Arabidopsis thaliana: one gene and its partner. The protein of the gene in region 2 interacts with the protein of the main gene of each other region in a pairwise test. Each region holds a gene or a part of one and is shown on either strand. Other genes may lie near its edges.

Region 1 (6,982 bases), on a different chromosome or scaffold from region 2:
ATCACCAAACGAAAGATGTTGACAATGAAAAGTTTGTGTACTTATTTGAGTTTATTTTGAACTTGCATTAAAGAAAAGCTTATGGTTACTTATAGGTTGGATTCTTTTTTTTTTAGGTTGGGTTCTTGACTTCTTTAAATAATGCTTTTATAGTTTGCATGCAAAATAACAAAATACCTAATAAAAGCACATGCAACGGTTTTGTTAGATATAGGAAGGCCCCTGTCCCTGTGGCCCATATATTTATAGTCTTTTACTTCATGTATTTTTTTTAACAAGTTCACTTTATCTTGTTCATAATTTTTTTTTTAAAACTTCACTTTATCCTATTTCATCACTTTTAGTTATTTAGTTATTTTATAATCAACTAGTAATCCAAACTTTTATCAAAAGATTAATCTTTTTGGGTGAATGTAGCTGTCGAATAATACACTCGCGAAATTTTATAATGGACCTAGAACATAACACTACTTTAATTGGCAAAATGAAAATGGTTAGACAATTTTTATTACATAAGAAAAAGTTAATAATATATGCAAGAGGAAGAAAAATATTAAATAAAATTTAACTTGGGGAGTGTATCTTAATTAAAAGTTAATGTATCCAAGATTAGCCTTTGCATGTTGAGAATATGTTGCATAATGCATGAGAATGACACACACACTTGTGTCCCTTTAGATAATTTATGAAAAGCAAAAATTATGTTTTTTTTGTCAATGAGCAAAAATTATGTTTAAATCCATAAAAATATAGTAAACTAATAAATGGAGGGAAAAAAGGGTGAGTTAAAAATATATACATGGATGAACAAAATAAACAAAATATTAAGAATTTATACATAAAAATCTGTTATTTAGGTAAATAGACAAGAGAAATAAAATATAAACTAGAAATATCCTTCTTGTTTAGATTAATTACAAAAATATCATCGATTCAAAATAACTTTAATATTTAAAAATAAGTATATAACTATTTGTTTAGCAAGCTAACATATATAATAACGTGGTAAATTTACATATTCTATGTTAAATAAATGTTTATCGATTTAAAATTATGAATCAATATTATTATTTTTATATATATCAACACAATAAAAATACATCATGTTATATAATTAAAATGATAACGATTATAATAACATTTTACATAGAATAATAACATGCTAACATACTAAATATCGAAATAATAGTTGTCTCAACATGGTAAGATAATCGATATATGAATAATAACATGGTAACATACTAAATATCGAAATAATATTTGTCTTAACACGGTAAGATAATCGATATATGGATAATATTTATTTGAACGTACTAAATGTTTCATTTAACGTACTAATGTTTCATCGAACCTTTTATTTTTAGTTTAATTAATTTAGGGGTATAATTGTCATAAAATTAAAATAGTAGAAGACAACGGTGTTTTTTTTGTCAGTTAATTATCATTATTCTGAGGATAGATAGTCATATTACCCAAAAAAAAAAAAGTAAACTAATAAATGAGTGGCATGATATATAAGCTACATGCCCAAACACACATCCTTGTCTAACATTGGGCTCAAATAGATCTAGTCAAGTAATAATTTGGGCTGTCATAATTTATCAACTTCAATCTTTTTTTTTATATATATAGCAAAAGTTCAAAAGACAACAAGATTGATGGCAATGTATATTTGCACTATGAAAAAACAATAGAAGTATTAGATAATTAATACTTGAACCATTTTTTCAAATGAAACAGTTTTTCTTTTTGACAATAATGAAACAGTTTTAAAAAAAATTAGAAGTATTAATCCTGACTGATACCTTTTGACCAATACCAATTTCATAATATATGGTGATATAATCAACTTAACTACCAATCATATGAAACAAAATAAATAGCTAAATAAAAGAGAGAGTAAGATAAAAGATGAATAAAAAGACTACATAACGACATAATAGTTTTTACAATTTTAGCAAATTACTAATCAGAAAAAAAAAAAAAAAATTACTAATCAGAACTAAAATATCTTAAACAGACCAAACAAATTAGTAGTAGAATTAACATTAACAACAACAAAAATCCAAAAAAAGAAAAGAAAAGACATCACCAACTGTAGATAGTCTCAATCCAACAATAAAGACTAAGCAATACAATTTTTTTTTTTACCTGCTTACATCTTCTAAGTCCCTTTTACTGGCATTTCTTATAAACTGGAAACTTCACCTTCTTCTTTCATAATTTTCTCCTAACTCGCTTTACCTTTTCATAATTTGGTTATTTAACTTCAAGGTCTAGCTCTCTTGTTACTGCAAGTTGGGCATTTGTAATGCTTGATGTGTTCTGCTTTTGCAGGTGTTATCTTCACACATTTTCCATGGAACCATTTCTCACACGCGTCGCAGCAAATCCAGAACTCATCTGTACCGTAGTTGTCTCCACAAGCACCACAAACCGCACCTTGTTCATCGTCTTCACTCTCATCTTCACTCTCATCTTCTTCTTCTTCTTCTTCTTTTGGCGGTGGAGATGACATCTTTGCAACCTTTGAGAGAGATTCGGATTGGCGAGACTGTTTGTGAGGAATACAAAGAGATAAAACTTAGCAGAGATTGATAAAACAAAATGGTGAAACAGAAGAGATACCTTGACGCCACTAGGTTTGCTTTTGCTATTATTGTTGTTAACAGATAGATCCTTGGACTGCTTTGCATTGCCGCTCACAACTTCGAAAATGGTTGGCAGCTCATTAATCATCTGGAACAGCCTCTTCCTGAAAAAGAATCGGTCCATGGCATAAGCTTAAAGGCAAGTGATAGCTAAGTTGTTCAAACAAACCTAATGCCAGAGAAGAATTTGATGAGATTCAGAATCAACAACTCATTCTGCTCAAGCTTTTCGTTTAACCTGTCAGCTACCAGTATCAAATAATGGATTCAGTGATTGTTGCTGAGCTCTCAACAAAGGTACAATGCAGTGGAAACTACCTAGGCTAATTACAGTGATCCTGCACAAGACTAATACAAGAAGTACTAATCAGACTTAGAGGCACATATCACATCTATTGACTAATATATCTATCTCAATAACATTGATCCAGATTGGTGCGATTCATAACTCTAGTCACTTCAAAATAGAAACTGGGAACCACTTACAAAAAGAGTTACACAGAAACCGACCCTATAAATAAGATCACGTGAGTTACAAAAATCCACACAGAGATTGTTGTATCAGACAAATAGACAAAACAAGAGGATGCTAGAATGATCATTATAACCTTACCACACATGAGTACACCCAATATTGTCATAATTGAGATGCAACACTCAAAAACACTGAGCTTGAGAAGGACCCTTACCTCTCATTCTTGCCAAATCCGAAACGTGCACCAAAGTAAAATGCAACAGAAAGCAGCCATGAATCACTGTGAACTGCGACCAAAGATACCCAGTCCTTTTCTTGCATTCCGTCTCTAGCGAAATTGATGCCTAAAGCTGGTTCAGGAAGCTCAGGAGGAACTTCCTCAACGGGTAGATTAACCTCCCATGTCTCATTTGGAAGTCCATAGAGACACAAATTCTCCTTCTCTACATAAACAAGAATGAAACACCTTAAAGAAAAACCACACAGAGGAGGACTAACTAACTCAATCTTTAACCAACACAATTCAACAACATACAAGCTCAACAACTTCAACAAAACATTTCACTAGAAACTATAGAAGCTAAGCAAGACTAATTTTTTAAAAGTTGTGAAGAAATAACTCACCAGGATCACACGTTTGGTAAAACTTCACCATATCTGCATAAACAAAACACAAAACCCAGAATCGTCAAATCTCACAAAAGAAACCCAAAATAAAAAAAGTTCTTCTTTTTTAACAAATGAAAAACCCAAATGCCACAAAATCGTAACTCTGTAGATACTTATCATTCTGATTCGCAAGTGAGAAACAAGAATCAGACCAAAACTGACCATTAGTGAGAGCTTTAATAAGACCAGCTCGTCGACCTCTGAAGTCGCTAAAGACCTCTTCAACAGTACGAGGTATTGGATGAGTAATTCCCTCCATTTCACAAACGATGTCGCCGGAGAAATCGCCGGAGAATATGAGTACTCCGGTCAAAATCAAAATCTGAGACAAATGTTTCCAGGCAAACAAAAGAAACCCAGAAGGAAAAATATTCACTTTGGGGTTTCGGATTTGGAGAAATGAAATTTGTAAATCTCTGAAAGAGAGAGTTTTTTTTTAATTTGGGGGAAATTGAGAAAAGAAAAAAAGAGAAAGGAGCTACAAACCCTAAAACGATAAAACAAAAGGGACCGATCAAAGATTAATTTTGGGGCTGAGAAGTAATATTAATAAAGACAACATTGTCTATTTTATTATTTTTGTATTAATTAAATAAAGACAACATTGTGTATTTTATTATTGTTTATGTAATAATATAAAATCTATTTATTAATTCCGATCTACATACCCTATTTTTTTCCGAGCTACATTCCCCACTCCCAAATTTTACATTATTTTTATTTTGGTCAAAGACATTTATTTAAATTTTATTTTATTTTTAAAAGTGTCGACGAAAAAAACATGTATTTTTTTTTTTTAACATATTCATTTCCATTAATATTACGAAAAAAAAACATGTTTTTATACGTAGGCTGAGGCATCCAAATTGATCCACAAATTTGGTTTTTGTTTTCAATTAACTTGACCTTAAAGATAAAAGTTAAAAGTTAAAACATTCAGGTCCATCTTGTATTGTACAGAAATAGCATGCCTGGCCCATTAAAGGATAGTGGGCTTTTATAGTAACCTAGGGGAAATGAGATTTGAAGTTTTCAACGATCATCACATTCACGTATTTTGAAAGTTTTTTTCACGATATACACCAGAAATAGATATTTTGAAAGAGAAAGCTACTAAAAAACGGAAAACATTTTGCCTTTTATCACTCAAAAAAATAAAAAATTCATCAAATTTTTAATTATTTTATTGTTTTTATGTGTGATTCTAGATGTAAGAATTAAGAAACGAACCAATATTAATCGGATTCGTTATCTTTGAATATTTTTGCGTTAAGCACGTCGTACTAGCTAGCGAATACGTTTACCGCAACTGTAATCTAATTCGTCACAGAATATCAATGATGTGGTATAATCAACTATAATCTTCTTTTTTCTTTGGGCAAAATCAACTATAATCTATGAATATATACTTACTAATATAGGTGATAGACATATATTATTTAAAATAATCTAAGAAAACATGCAAATACGGTTACATCGACCGGTTAGAAAGGGAAAAAACTTTAAAATTAGTACTTTCGTATCATATTCAAGTCAGTATATATTAGGATTTTGCCACATTACATATATTATTAAAGATTGTTAATAATTAGGATTAAAAAGACTAGTATGAGAGTTAAGTCAAGTTTAAATTTGTTTTTCTCATTGAGAAAAAGGGAACTGATTTCTTACAACATACAACTGTTCATGCTGGTCATATCTGACAAAATCACGGGAACAACTGCTCTTACCAAATATTGCACGTCCTATGCTTTTTTTTTTTGTCAAACCCTAATTAGTCTTATATTTACAAAGACAAAAAACTAGCTAACATCTTTTATCTTTATATATTTCTATCTCAAAATTAGTTGTTGAATTCTTAAGAGTTAGTGGATTGTTTATCTATAAAGTCGCACTAACAGGTAACTAAAATTAAACATCTTGGATCTAATGCATGTAAATGACAATGCAAAATGAATTCTAATAAGTGATGAATAAACAACAAAAAATATCAACATTCAATTTGAAATTTTGAAATGGAATGAAGACCAAATTAAATATCACTAGGTTGGATTTACGGTTACTATTGTTATGGTTTAGTTAGTGTTTGGTTTTAGTCTGGTTTCGGTTAGGGCTCGTACATGAAAATCTAATCCAATAAGTTTATTTCTTCTTTGGTTTGTTTGAGAACTTTTGATACGGATTGCACTCCTTAGTCATTTTGTATTCATATATTACAGTGAATTTTTTTTTTTTAACTACGTTGAATCTAGCTTAAAGAAATTAACTTTAACACAAGAAAAAAAAAACTACTTAATTGACTATATATGTTGAGAATCAGTTCCATTACATAAACTCGCAGTAATCAATCATTGTCTATCGCCATAACAATATATAAGGAGTATGAAAATATGGCAAAGCAGCATTAATAATTATTGTCATGGATAATAATCATGATCTAATTAAATTACTTAAAAGGAATATTAGTATAGTGATCTCTGTTTCCATCTGGTACTATTGGATTCCACATATCCCACAAAGCATTGTTTGGAATCGTTCCTGCAGGAATCATGTTCATAGCTAACGCCGCTTGAGTTTGAGGCATTAGCGTTGTCGCTGTAGTCGCCGCAGCCACCAATTGTAATGCGTTTGCGTTAGCATTTTGTTGTTGAGTATGATGAAACTGTTGAGCAATTTGAAAGTATTGGTGATTGATGTTACCTCCATCTGATATTTGGTAGTTAACTAGTCTTTGAAGATCGTCAACAATGGCAGTTTCATCATCGTCTTGATGATTTCTCGTAGAGACTATCAATGTGTTGTTGCTTGTGTCGTAAGGCATTGGACGATATATGTTTTGATTGGCTAGAGCAATGGTAACGTCAGAGTTACTGTTTGTGGTCGTTGTTGTTGTGCTGCCGTCGCCGGAATATTCGGTGGAGAGCTTCTCGAGATTGTTGATGTTGTTGTTGTTGTTAAGGTTGTTGTCGGAATGATTAGAGGAGGATGAATGGTGTTGTTGTTGTCTTAAGGCTAAACGGGATGATGTCGATGAGTTATGGTTATGATGTCTTGTGGAGAGAGAACGTGGTACCGATGGATGATCTTCTACTCCTGGCCTTTTGTACACTCGGCACAATGATATTTCAGCCTATAATTATACATGAGCACATTGATTAGAGACTTGATACATATATCAAATTATCAA
Region 2 (7,740 bases):
CAGATAAAACAAACACAAACCCTTAGCCAAAGCCTGAATTAACGGGAACCAAAAACGTATGTGAACTGTAGGTAATAAAGATACAATTGATATACCGAGGAGCATCTTATTACTTTCTTAGTCGCTAAATTCATTCCACCATTCACTCAATACTGAAAAGGGGGAGAATTTCGAACCAGAAACACAAAAAGGTCACATCTTTTTCCACCATTGCGAAAAAAGGGCACCTCAAACAAGAAACCAATGACCCAATAACCCATATCCCAATAAGAAGAGTAGAAAACCAAATTCCATAGGAGAAAAGAGGAGCGAAAGAAAGCAAGAAACATACTTGATCTGCGACAAGTCTTTGAGTGTGTTAATGGGATCCTTGGCGTCGCAGACACTCCTATACCCCTTAACAAATGTCCTCTCCAGATTTTCCGACAAGCCTTTGGGCTTTTCTGCGTATTCTTGCTTCTTCTGCAACACATAAGCCGCTAAACCTCGGTTCTCAGGGCACAGTACCCGTCTCTCGTCATCCATCACTACCCACTCCAAATAGTTTCAATTTATCAAGCGATCATAAAATTCCTTGCTGATTGGATATACTCGTTGCCGAAAAAGAGGGAAATTCTCTCGCAAAGGTTTGATCTTTGGTTCGCCGGAGAAGAGGAATAAGCACTTTCAGTTTTTAGGCGTTTTGTTGAGAATTTTTAAAAAATGGGGATTTTGACTAAAACCTTCTCTTGCCGAAGAGTAAGTCTCCGTTTCATACGGAGACTTCTGGTTTAAATCATATCAATTTGGAACAAATCTTTTAAACCAGTACAATAATTAGTATTCGACTTTGAAACATGTCATTCACTTGGTTCGTTAAAGACTTTTGATGAAAAATTTATGTTCGATAATTAGGATAGCTACCATGTAGTTGTCACAATTTGTCACTTGGTTCATCTTTGGGTTTTACTATTTTGTTGTTTACTTATCTATCAATAATACATTAATTTCATATTTTCATCAAACAACAAAGTCGAGAAACTTCAACAACAACAAAGACGTATCCCGAAACCTGATCCTCGCACCATTGAGGTACATATCGAATTCATGGAGTCTTATGAGTCTTTCTACCCACATTCCACGATGATCCGTAACGTCGTGATCTGCAACCCGACCTTGTATTCTCTGTAACTTTTGTATTTTCTGTAATAAAAACAAAAAAAGGGGACTAGGCCGACCCTTAATCAACTGGTCGTGATCTGAAACTCGATCACCTGATGAGCTCAAGGCAGAGCGAAACCAGTCACATGATGAAACTTGATACTTAGATTGCTATAGCGATTTTGTAATATGATTGTAGTCTTTATATAATTTGTTTTCTTCTGTTTGGTTATATCAAAAAATTTGTTCTGTCGAATTTTCTGCCATGATAGTGCGAGATCTTTAGATAGTTTTTTTTAAGGGAATGTATTTTCTTAAATCAGATTCAAATTTGACAAGGGTTAAATAATAATTGTGTTGTAATGGAACTGAAAGAATGTATGGTATAACCGACCGGTCTATCCCGTGGCTTCAGCTAGCAGTTATACAATTGTGGGCCTAAGCTTCGGTTACAAGCACGATTGGTTCTATATCTCCACAGAGATTACTAGATAACGACAACAGACAAACTATCAAAGCACATTGTTTATAGATATTTTGCAGCTAATCTTGCTGCGGTTTACGGGCTATAGGTCGGTGAAACAATCTTCTGCGTTTTGCTCCCCAAGATACAACCAAACAGTTTGGTTCTTTCCTCTTTGTCCCAAGATAACCTTGACAGTTTTCAGAACCACAATTGCACTTTACTTCAGGACCAAACTGCACAAATCTGCCATTACACAAAGAGAGAAGCTAATATATCAGAATCTCAGATTACTTAGGCTAATTATAAGCACATAAAAGAAACAAATGGTCAAGAACTTGACCTGTAGTCATATGTAAGTGGCTCTCCTGCTTCTATTTGACGAGCTGCAAAGACACCCACACGGGTCTCACCTTCAACTTGCCTGTTAGAACAAAATAATCAAACTGACTCATGCTCTCTTACTCGAGCATCATCGACATATTTATATGAAATAATATATGCTTTACCACTTTTCCAATACACAGTTTGGGTTGCAACTGTGGTTCAGAAACCGAGAGGCGTTCCCTTTGAAGGTAGCATCAATCGTGAAGTCTTTTTGAATCTCACACATGTAAAAGTCTTTCATGCCTTTGTGTTTCATATCCCAAAGCCTTTGCTCACATTGAGCATCACTAATCACTGTGGATAGAGTGAAAACAAATCACTAAAAACTCTGTCGCTTTCCACCACAAACATAAGGCTCAAAGACCAAATCAAGATAGTTTACCTTCACCAATGTATTCGACAATGAAGTCCTCTTTGTTGATTGATTCTGCTGCCTCAACTCCCCAACCGCAATGTTCAGTCTGTAAAACCAATAACATGACATGTCAAGATAAAAAAACACAAGAAGAGTGTAATGCAAGAATCATAAACTAGAGACTAGTTTTACCTTAACAATTTTGATCTTTTTCTCTTTGCGGAATGGTCTGTTTCCACAACTTTCAGGACAGCTGCATCCCTTTGAACAGCTTATGCATTGAACCCTGAGAGAAATTTTTCAAAACGGAAACTATTCAAAACGAAATGAATGTTAACAGAGAAAATTTGTTTGGTTAATTAACAAATATACCTGCAAACACAGCTTCTATCGCAATTAGGGCCACAATTTGTGCACCCAACACCATCATTAGCATTATCACGCTTTTTCTTAACGAGGTAAATATCTTAACTCAGTCAAGGAAAAGACACACTAATGTTGTGAAAAAATGAGAATTATGTACTTTTAAGGCAGAAATATTGAATGTGGAAACTATAAAGGATACTGCGTCTAATGTGCACATAAGAAGGCGGATCTTCCTTCACAACAGAATCTTTCCATGCTAAGTCAATCTTAAACTCCTCTTCCACATATGGCAAAGGCAACTGGCAAAAGACTTCCTGAATAAGAAAGTAGATAAACATTCAGTGCCTAGCTCTTGAAATTGTGTAAGATAAAAACAAAATATCCAGCTTTCAAATCTCTTCCCTCTTTTTGATTTTCGAGCGGCAAGTCTATGTAAGAATTAGTTTCCTTTACTACAGTCACATTTGGCACGTGGCAAAGAAACACTGACCTCAATCTCACTCTGTGCAACTGCATGCTGCTCAATCAACAGAGATTTTGTCAGTCCTGTGAGTAAAACTCTATGAAAGTACAAATCGTAAGAAGCTTCAAGAAGTATCTTATGAAAGCGGTAAACTAAAAAATCAACCTTTGTGTCTAGCCGCCAATCAGTTGGATGCCTCCAACAAACTGCTCTTCCTGGTTGGTCTTTTAAGTGAAGTATTTCTTTTGACCATGGAGAATGTTTATCATGAGCAGCCATTGGACACTTAACACACCGCCATTGTGTTCTTTGCTTGCAGACAAAGCACTCCTGCATACTCCATTCTATCAGAAACTGAATGATACCACACAATCAAAATAATCCATTTCAATTCCCTACCTAAACACTATTACTTAGAACTAACTGTTAAGTATATCCTATTTGATGGCCTATCGTCTCTCTGAGCATTTCTACCAAAAATAAGAGCAACAAAATATGATTTGCTTCATTGAATACAAAGCCAGCCAATAAAAATGAAGAGAAATCTTCCTTAGTTCTAAACAATAAATGAGGATCTTACATGTTGAGGGCATTTAAATTTGCTTGACTTAGAAAAACCAAGACTTTCTTTCGCACAAAGCGAGTGATAAGCGCCTTGGCAGCCGCGAACAGAACACGATAAGTCTTCCCCCGGGTACACCGGCTTATGGCAAACAAGACAATCAACCTGACACCAAATCCCATATAGTCATTATGTCAATAAATCTAATAACTTAGTCACTAATTGACTTGAAGATTCGAATGACTTTAAAAGTAAACTAGTAGTCAAACAATATCTAAATGAATATGAGATCTTACACGGACATCACTAAAGCCAAAAAAAGGTGATGAATTCAATTCACAGATGCAATATACTTCAAACAAACTTCATAACTCAAGATATTATGTATATCCTAAAATCCAAATCCCATGTAGTCTATATGTCAATAAATCTAAAAACTTCACAAGTCATTAATTTGACATAACAAACAACATACCATTTTCTTGGCACCAACAAGAAAAGGAAGGAAACATGTCGACTCTGAAACACCAGAAGCCACTCTTCTCTTGACCCAATCCTTCACATGATCATCCAAGACAAACCCTTTCTTGACTCTGTCAGACGGATTCTGTTTCCGGGTAAAAGCAGTGACTCCATTAGCAATTTTAATGTCCTTGACCTCTTCCTCCGGTGGAATCATTGGTAAATGTTTCCCATTGCATTCTCCGGCTAGATTTTCCGGGGAATTGATAGATTTGGCTAATTCAGGGCCTGAAGCCGCCGGAAGAAAAGAAGGGCAACAAGTGAGAGCAACAGATGCAGACATAGACATGTTTCCCAGATCTAACATCCTAAACTCGAAAGTACAAAAGATGGAAGAGTAAGAAGAAGAAGACAGTTACGTTTTGTCTTTGTTGGGTAGGCGAAAAGCGAAGAGACATGAAAAAATATGGAGGGAATTTAAGGCGGGAGATTTGTCCTAAAATATTATACAAAAAGGTCCTTGTATTTTAAATATTGTTTTAATTGCCCCCAAACATTTTTTCTGCTAGTTAAATTTCTTTACCAACTAAAATCCCCCACATTCATATCTACCAATAACAGTGCTACACGCAATGATTAATGCCGGTTCCCAAAACGGAACTGAACAAATAGCTAAAATTAATCAAATCATGATTTGAAAGTATATCGTATTGATCAGTGTTCGGTTTGTTAGTTATAAACAAGATATTTCGTTTTCGTTTTTGGATATGTTTACATGTCATTTTAGGTTCGTTATGTCACAACTTAAATCAAATTATATGCTTTCTAGGTATGTTTTAATTAATTACTCTCTTTTTTTTATCATACATCTTTACAGACTCACGAAAAATGATCTATGATTTCATCTAGTGAAAGATAAATGGATTAATCAGTTTGTATAACATCTTAATTTCGTTTTTTTTTTTCATTTCGTTAGTGTCTATTGTCTAAATTTCGATAATTCAGTTTTCATTTGATTACTATACTCAAACAAAATACCTAGCGTAAATTGCTTTGTTAGACCATATTTAGCAACAAAATCTAATAAAGTATTGATCTTTGAGTCTAGGTTTCCACAGTTCACCACGCAATACTCACCTTTCTTTATACACTTTACAAAGATAATGAGTAATCGTTAAATAATCCAAAGAATTTACTCATCCATGTACACATAGTTTATACTTAATCCTCTTAGCAAGAAATTATGGCGTCTAAGAATCGATTTAGATGAAAAACGGACCAACTAAGCAAACTAGAATATATGTTCACTTCACGACAACTTTGTATATAATTATACACAAAACAATATACATTCATTTTGTATGATATACAACAAATCTTTTGAAAATACTACACTCTTTTCTTTAATGTATTTTTAGGCTAATGTTGAAATATTCTTGTATTTATATTATGAAATTTGAATTAGACCGGATCAAACCGGATCCACGTTATCTTGATTTTAAAATGAAGAACTCCAAATAAATCTAGATTACAAACTGATTATCATTTGCTAAAAAGATCCTAAAGGTTATCATTTGAGATTCAGCAGGCGAACAACAAAAATTATTACTATATTCGTACGGTTCCATTCGATTTTTGTTCACTCATTTGTTGTTACTACACTTTACTACTCAAAATTTGTTACCCTCGTTTAGTCCGATTCGATGGTTCCTCATCGTTCATTGCGGTGAATTACTATGAAAGTACAAATTAAAAATAATCTGAAACATTGATGATAACAATGTAGCAATGTAGTCGTAACATGCCAACATCGAATTCTGGGCCAACTATATTTTGCTTTGGTAAGCGAACCATTCATTCAGTTTTTAATTATTATATCCAATTGTTTGACGCGTTTTAAATAAATCAATAACATAATCCATGTTCATACCAATTAAATATAGATATGTATGTACGTGTTGTCTTGTCTTATGAATCAACCCTCCTTGGAGAATCTTATGCCATAAAGCCAATAAAAAGTTACCTACTCTTTCAATTTACCTCGTTCGTTTAATCTGTTTTGATCAACACTCCCCATATTATCAAATCATTTAGGAAACGTATAAATGAAACGAAAATATATGTTTTAGTTACTCAACAATGTTATTAAGGGTCAGGCAACAAAAAAATCTTGAGGGGTAAAAACAAAGTTCTCGATTTAATAATTATAGACTATAGGTTTAAACAGAGACCCACAAATTCTGCATTTCTCACCTTCCAACTGTAACTTTAATATTTGTTTCAAATTGACACGGCGGGTAAAAATAATCAGGTGTATCCTCCCTCACACTAAGGCGAAACTAACATACTAATAAGGAAGAGACACGTGTAAAAAAGACCGGTCAAAGACGCTACGTAGATAAAAGTCACGAAGCTTGCTCGTTTTTAAAATTCAAAGAGGTTTCATCTCCGTATAAGTAGGCGACGAAGCATACCACGAAGATCGAAAAAAAACAAATCAGATTCTCAAATACTGAAAATAAAAAGAAGAAGAGAGAAATCTACGGTGGTGGGTGATTCGCCGGAGTTCAATTTCGTAGCTAGATTTCTCCTCCTTTTCCCCCCGACGAGCTGTGCGAGAGAGGGAGGGGAATCATGCAGAAACGGAGAACGGTGAAGGAATCTACGAAGATAAGAAATGGTAAAGGTATGGATTCCGGCGAAAAGAAGAGATCTGAGAAGAGATTGATGAAGTTCGAGGAGTTACCTAGGTATTTGAAAGATAACGAGTTCATACACAATCATTATCGATGTGAGTGGTCAATCAAAGAAACTTTCCTCAGCGCTTTCTCATGGCACAATGAGACTCTCAACATCTGGACGTATGTTTTCGTTTTCTTCTGATTTTTTTTTCCCTTGGTTGAAAATTTGTAAACGGGGTTTTGAAATTTGGCAGGCATTTGTGTGGATTTGCGATATTTACTTGGATGATGGTTGTGAGTTCAATGGAGACGACGGAGCTTGGCCTCGCCGGCTTTGTTAGCCTTCTCTCCGGGTAAGAAAAATCTCGAGGTCAAAATCGTCATTTTTTGTTTTGAGGAAAATTAAACAAATTTCAATCTTTTTGGGGGATTTGTGGGTCCTAATGACAGAGCAACAATTCGCTGGCCATGGCCGTCAATGGCAATGTCAAAAGATGTTTACTTCTCCAGCGATCAAACTCTGCATCACGTAAAGATTCTTCCTTTTTTATTCTGTGACATTGTTTATTCTAATTTAAGTAGTAGACATGCAACATAAGTGCTTTCAAATAACAAATCCCATTTTTGTTGTGTGCTGATTGCAATTAGCAGTAGTGCTAAATGGTAACTTTCACCCACCATGTCATGTTCTCTTTGGATTTTTTCTATCTTTCTGTTTTTAACTTTGGTTTTTATGGATACTTCAGTTTCTCTAGACTTGCTCTTTATGCTCACCTACTTTGAAATCACGTGATTTCCTACCGAAATTAAGGAACAAACTTTATGATTGGATTTGTTTAGTTTAGCATAAATCTTGTAACC

The links.
Region 1: the proteins of SDG4 (region 2) and AL6 interact in a two-hybrid assay, tested with the Arabidopsis thaliana proteins (one large-scale study listed by BioGRID).

The regions. Positions count from the first base shown.
Region 1 is NC_003071.7:649,909-656,890, reverse strand, and holds AL6 (alfin-like 6), read right to left. Parts: upstream 4,316-6,982; 5' UTR 4,055-4,315; coding exon 3,958-4,054; intron 3,784-3,957; coding exon 3,751-3,783; intron 3,570-3,750; coding exon 3,341-3,569; intron 2,756-3,340; coding exon 2,629-2,755; coding exon of another isoform or gene 2,555-2,628; coding exon 2,270-2,554; 3' UTR 1,906-2,269; downstream 1-1,905. Other genes in the region: LOV1 (NAC domain containing protein 35), read right to left, coding at 6,242-6,925. UniProt on the Arabidopsis thaliana protein: Histone-binding component that specifically recognizes H3 tails trimethylated on 'Lys-4' (H3K4me3), which mark transcription start sites of virtually all active genes.
Region 2 is NC_003075.7:15,021,371-15,029,110, reverse strand, and holds SDG4 (SET domain group 4), read right to left. Parts: upstream 4,668-7,740; 5' UTR 4,566-4,667; coding exon 4,212-4,565; intron 3,902-4,211; coding exon 3,755-3,901; intron 3,505-3,754; coding exon 3,340-3,504; intron 3,229-3,339; coding exon 3,202-3,228; intron 3,026-3,201; coding exon 2,911-3,025; intron 2,812-2,910; coding exon 2,718-2,811; intron 2,632-2,717; coding exon 2,538-2,631; intron 2,452-2,537; coding exon 2,373-2,451; intron 2,285-2,372; coding exon 2,113-2,284; intron 2,028-2,112; coding exon 1,947-2,027; intron 1,850-1,946; coding exon 1,684-1,849; 3' UTR 1,439-1,683; downstream 1-1,438. Other genes in the region: MUS81 (Restriction endonuclease, type II-like superfamily protein), read right to left, coding at 332-525; HHP2 (heptahelical transmembrane protein2), read left to right, coding at 6,833-7,059, 7,134-7,232, 7,330-7,408. UniProt on the Arabidopsis thaliana protein: Histone methyltransferase. Involved in stamen development.